Linked DNA regions of Saccharomyces cerevisiae S288C. The gene in region 2 interacts genetically with the main gene of each other region. Each region holds a gene or a part of one and is shown on either strand. Other genes may lie near its edges.

Region 1 (2,665 bases), on a different chromosome or scaffold from region 2:
GCTTACATTTGAAATCTTCATCACTGATCTGTGGTCCAAACCTGAGTATTAGAACTATCACTAAAATGCCAGAGAATATGAGGAGAAACCCTACAGAAACCCCAACGCAATTTTCGTTATCATGAAAAAGAATAATTATTGAGATTAAAACCCCAATTACTAGAGACAAAAGCATGACCGGTGTACAGTGAGCTGCTTCATATATCCAATAACTCAAGTACGAATGGAATATGTCCTTAGGAAGAGCCACATTTTCCTCGATTAAATATGCACCGGGTTCGTCGAGAGAATCCGACTTGGCGTTGGTATTTTCTGAAGGGGTTTGCATGTTGAATTGATATCTTGTCTTGTGTAAGGTTATTATATGGTTTTGGAGGTTGTTATGCTGATTCGAATTACGACTTGATCTTGATACTAATTGAGCTTTGACGAAATATTTTAGCAATTCAGAACCCCTTTCATATTCTTTTTCTTCTTTTCATTTTTAGAGGCGTTATTTCACTAATAGGTACAGCCTCCGAAATAATACGTAATTGAAGATATGATAATAACAGTACGAGCCTTTTACAGGGCCATTATGATCATGAGTGAGATCCAGAAAAGCACATTGCATGGCAGTCGGATGTTGAGAATTGGGGGAATTTTGAGATAATTGTTGGGATTCCATTGTTGATAAAGGCTATAATATTAGGTATACCTAATATACTAGAAGTTCTCCTCGAGGATATAGGAATCCTCAAAATGGAATCTATATTTCTACATACTAATATCACGATTATTCCTCATTCCGTTTTATATGTTTCATTATCCTATTACATTATCAATCCTTGCACTTCAGCTTCCTCTAACATCGATGACAGCTTCTCATAACTTATGTCATCATCTTAACACCGTATATGATAATATATTGATAATATAACTATTAGTTGATAGACGATAGTGGATTTTTATTCCAACAATCTCAACATTCACCCATTTCTCACATTTATCTCAAAATCCACCCATTTCTCAATAATATATATGGTAAGTAACCAGTTGTCAAAACAGTTTATCAGATTAATTCACGGAATGTTACTTATCTTATATATTATATAAAATATGAATCATACTAAGTGGTGGAAGCGCGGAATCTCGGATCTAAACTAATTGTTCAGGCATTTATACTTTTGGGTAGTTCAGCTAGGGAAGGCCGGGTTTTATCTCATGTTGTTCGTTTTGATATAAGGTTGTTTCATATGTGTTGTATGAACGTTTAGGATGACGTATTGTCATACTGACATATCTCATTTTGAGATACAACATTTTCAGTTAATTTGTTTCCGATATAGTGTAACGGCTATCACATCACGCTTTCACCGTGGAGACCGGGGTTCGACTCCCCGTATCGGAGTATTTTTTTGAAAGTTTTTTTTCACGTTAGTTCCGTGAAGAAAATTTTTTTTCTTCATTTCGGAGAAAAAACAAGGAAGGAGAAAGATTTAAGAGTGATAGCTAGATCATGTATTCCTTAATACGAAGGAGAGACCTGGATTTTTCTCATATTATTATGTCTCACTGCCTACTTAACAAAGACATTTACCTTTGAACTGCAATTAAAGTAAAGTAAAAAAATTAAGAATAAAAAGAAAAATGGGTGCTTGGTTATTTATCCTTGCTGTTGTTGTCAACTGTATCAATTTGTTTGGCCAAGTGCATTTCACAATACTATACGCTGATTTAGAAGCTGACTATATCAATCCAATTGAATTATGTTCTAAAGTTAACAAGTTAATTACCCCTGAAGCCGCCTTGCATGGTGCTTTGTCATTACTATTCTTACTGAACGGTTACTGGTTTGTATTTTTATTGAACTTACCAGTTCTAGCTTACAATCTAAACAAGATCTACAATAAAGTTCAACTTTTGGATGCTACCGAAATATTCAGAACTTTAGGCAAACATAAAAGGGAGAGTTTCCTAAAGTTAGGTTTCCACTTATTGATGTTCTTCTTCTACTTGTACAGAATGATCATGGCTTTGATTGCTGAAAGTGGTGATGACTTCTAATCCAACAAGACATTGAAATCCAAAGAAGACTGAAGGGCCAAGAATAATAGACATACTTAATGGCCGCCCATAGATTGGAGGAAAACTGAAGATAAAAAAGATAAATACACAGAATGTATTAATTCGTGCTTCCCTTTTTTCCTTTTTTGCTTTTTTTCTCAATTGTCGGTGGGAGTTATCAATTTTTTTCGTTATTACCAGCATCTATTAAAGTAAAATACCGGTGAATATCGGTAAATAATAGGTTACTGTATAAATGTACATATAAATATTTGTATAGTTAGTATGCCATACAAAATAAAAAAAAAAAAAAAAAAAAACTAAAAGGTTGAGAACTTAAGGGTGAGCATGACTGTGAAATTTTGAAGAGATGCAGTAAGCCATCCCATATCTATTGCTCCAGGGCCCAGAAAAAAAAAATAAAAAATAGAACTTAAGTTGAAACTTAGTGCAAAAGATATATAATGAAAAAAGATAACCAAATCTGAATCTAAATGAAAATGAAAATTTCTATACATAAATAACGAAGAATAAAATACTAAAATGAAAAAAATAAATAAAAAAGGTAAATCGTAATAAGAGAAAAAAAAAGGAAAAATGTCAAAACGTAATCATGAAA
Region 2 (3,064 bases):
TGTTTGAATCTTTTAGTTATGATGGTAACCCCTTTCTTTTTATTTTACTGTTGATCCCTCGGATAATCAATAGGTTATCTGCCACAATATTCACGTTCTTTTGCACTCTATTGTCCCTGCATTCGATAAGTGGTGGCGGTAATTCAGGAAAACCCAAGATCTCCAAGGTTCCAAAGGCACCAACCAGAGAAACCCATATCCCACTTGCAGAAATACTGGGTGACACGAAGGACAAGGATGCATTTTGCGAACTAAAAAGCTTTAAACCAGACATTTCCTTCAATGAGGCCTTGCGTATTGCAAAAGAAGAGTTTAAGTTTATGTTGCTCATCCTAGTGGGCGACACCTACGATACCGATACTGATACCGTAGATGTTAATTCTAAACTACTATTGGAAAAGATTTTGTTAAACAAGAAGACTTTACAGTACTTGCGCAAGATTGATAACGACCTGATTATCTATTTGAAATGCGTACACGAGTTGGAACCTTGGCTGGTTGCTCGCCAACTAGGTGTCAGAAACACCCCGGAGATATTCCTCATTGCCAACGTGGCTAATAAGGCTTCCCATTCAGAAACTTTGCCCTCACAAAGACTCTCCATTCTCGGCAAGCTAAAGGTCAATTCACTGAACAGATTCTTGCAGTCGTTAACAAACGTGGTGGAAAAGTACACTCCAGAATTAGTTGTTAATAAAACTGAAATGCACGAGCTACGCATGTCAAGAGAAATAAAAAAACTGCAGGAGGATGCGTACAAAAAGTCGCTAGAAATGGACAGAATCAAAGCTATAGAAAAGGAAAAGAGCTTGAAACACGCTCAGGATTTGAAATTAAACTCAACTGCTCGGCAATTAAAATGGTTAAAGGCTTGCATCGATGAGATACAGCCGTTCGAGACAACGGGGAAGCAAGCTACTCTGCAATTTAGGACTTCTAGTGGCAAAAGATTCGTCAAGAAGTTCCCCTCCATGACTACACTTTACCAAATCTACCAATCCATTGGGTGTCACATATACCTCGCGGTATATTCTAGTGACCCCGCAGAATGGTCTAACGCCCTCCAGGACAAAATCAGGCAATTATCTGCAGACGACGATATGCTCTGCTTTAAAGAAGGACAACTCGAAACTGCTACTGCTACCACTATCGAAGAGCTCGGCCACATCATCAACAACGAGCTTACCTCATTTGATCTCGAACGTGGTAAACTTGAATTCGACTTTGAATTGGTATCGCCCTTCCCTAAGTATACTGTGCATCCTAACGAGCACATGTCGGTGGACCAAGTGCCCCAGCTATGGCCAAATGGCAGTCTTCTAGTGGAAGCACTGGATGAAGAAGATGAAGAAGATGAGGAAAATGAAGAACAATGATAAAATAGCATATCGTTAAAAACGACAAACGCGTACAAAGAGTTTCTGGAGTTTACTTTTTTTTCATTTTTCGTTTTTACTCTTTCGTCTCCCTAATGATTTTGGCCAACCGTTGGTTGTTACGTGTTATATGTTTGTTTTAGGAGCTGGGGCCTACCTTTATAGTTAGTTGTATAACTCAGTTGATCTCATAAGTGAAAAGCAAAAAAAGGATGCAGGTGTTACAGTTATGGTTGACAACTTTGATCTCTTTGGTGGTGGCAGTGCAGGGATTACATTTCGACATTGCAGCATCTACAGATCCAGAACAGGTTTGTATTCGTGATTTTGTCACTGAAGGTCAATTGGTTGTCGCGGATATTCACTCAGATGGTTCTGTTGGTGATGGACAGAAACTAAACCTCTTCGTGCGTGATTCAGTTGGAAACGAGTATCGTAGAAAGAGGGACTTTGCAGGCGACGTTCGTGTTGCGTTTACTGCTCCATCCTCCACGGCATTCGACGTTTGTTTTGAAAATCAGGCTCAGTATCGTGGCCGTTCTTTAAGCAGGGCCATTGAATTGGACATTGAGAGTGGTGCTGAAGCTCGTGACTGGAACAAGATCAGTGCCAACGAAAAATTGAAACCTATAGAAGTGGAGTTGCGTAGAGTGGAGGAAATTACCGACGAAATTGTCGACGAATTGACTTACTTGAAAAACAGAGAGGAGAGATTAAGAGACACCAATGAATCTACCAACAGAAGGGTAAGAAATTTCTCAATTTTGGTTATTATTGTCTTGTCCTCGCTGGGTGTTTGGCAAGTCAACTATTTGAAGAACTACTTCAAAACGAAACATATCATTTAAGCAAAGGAAGAGGACCACACCATGCATTTGTGTATCAGCTTACCCTATAATTGCATATGTACTCGACTATTTTCTACATATATATGAATAGATTCCAGAACCGAATAAAGGAGAAAAAATATTTGAATATGGATTTGTTCGCTTCACATCTTTAAGTAACCTAGTTTTCCCAATACGCAACCAAAGTCCAAGTATGTCATGAAAAGCCTCTTGCCATCAGTAGCACAACTAATCATTTCAATGGTCCCAGAACTTTGGTCAGCCCCGATGAGATTGGAGATTTTTTGAAGGTCTTTTACGCTTAATACATGATCTCTTAAGGCCACTTGCGGGAAATCCACGTCTCTGCCACAGTTTCTAATAAGCATCGACCATAAATCATCTATTACTGTTAAATTATTCATCAGTATCAGTAACTGGCATGTGCATCGTACCAGTTTCGTGAAATCTATTACGTCAGTTCCTTCTATAATGACGTCTTCATTTCTCACCAGTTTCCAAATTGTGGGCTCTAGTTGCAAATCCTTGAAGAACCTTGGTAGTTCATTAACGGTCATATCATGGTCCAGACTGGATTCCGCATATTTTTCCAGAATTTCATCTTCAACTTCGATAGGTACTTTCGGGTTCTCGAATAGCTCTACTCTTTCATAACTAACGTTAGTGGATTTGCTCATTGAAAAAAAACTCGGAAGGTATTTAGGTGACCTTGCGGCTTCTTAATGCTGACACCTGCATGCGTAATTGTTATTATATATATATATGATAGTATATTTCATACTTGTTCCTTCTAAAGGTGACCCGCCTGATATGCGACATAGAAAAAAATTTGGATGAACA

Evidence for each region. Genes that interact genetically often act in the same process or in processes that back each other up.
Region 1: mutations in ERV25 (region 2) and ERV14 together harm fitness more than expected from each alone (negative genetic interaction), as found in Saccharomyces cerevisiae (5 studies listed by BioGRID).

Annotation. Positions count from the first base shown.
Region 1 is NC_001139.9:400,252-402,916, reverse strand, and holds ERV14 (cornichon family protein), read left to right. Parts: upstream 1-1,629; coding exon 1,630-2,046; downstream 2,047-2,665. Other genes in the region: pheromone-regulated DUP240 family protein PRM8, read right to left, coding at 1-328. UniProt on the Saccharomyces cerevisiae protein: Could regulate export of the bud site and axial growth sites selection protein AXL2 and possibly other secretory proteins from the endoplasmic reticulum in COPII-coated vesicles. Seems to be required for axial budding pattern in haploid cells.
Region 2 is NC_001145.3:244,528-247,591, forward strand, and holds ERV25 (Erv25p), read left to right. Parts: upstream 1-1,588; coding exon 1,589-2,224; downstream 2,225-3,064. Other genes in the region: UBX2 (Ubx2p), read left to right, coding at 1-1,376; RAD33 (Rad33p), read right to left, coding at 2,368-2,901.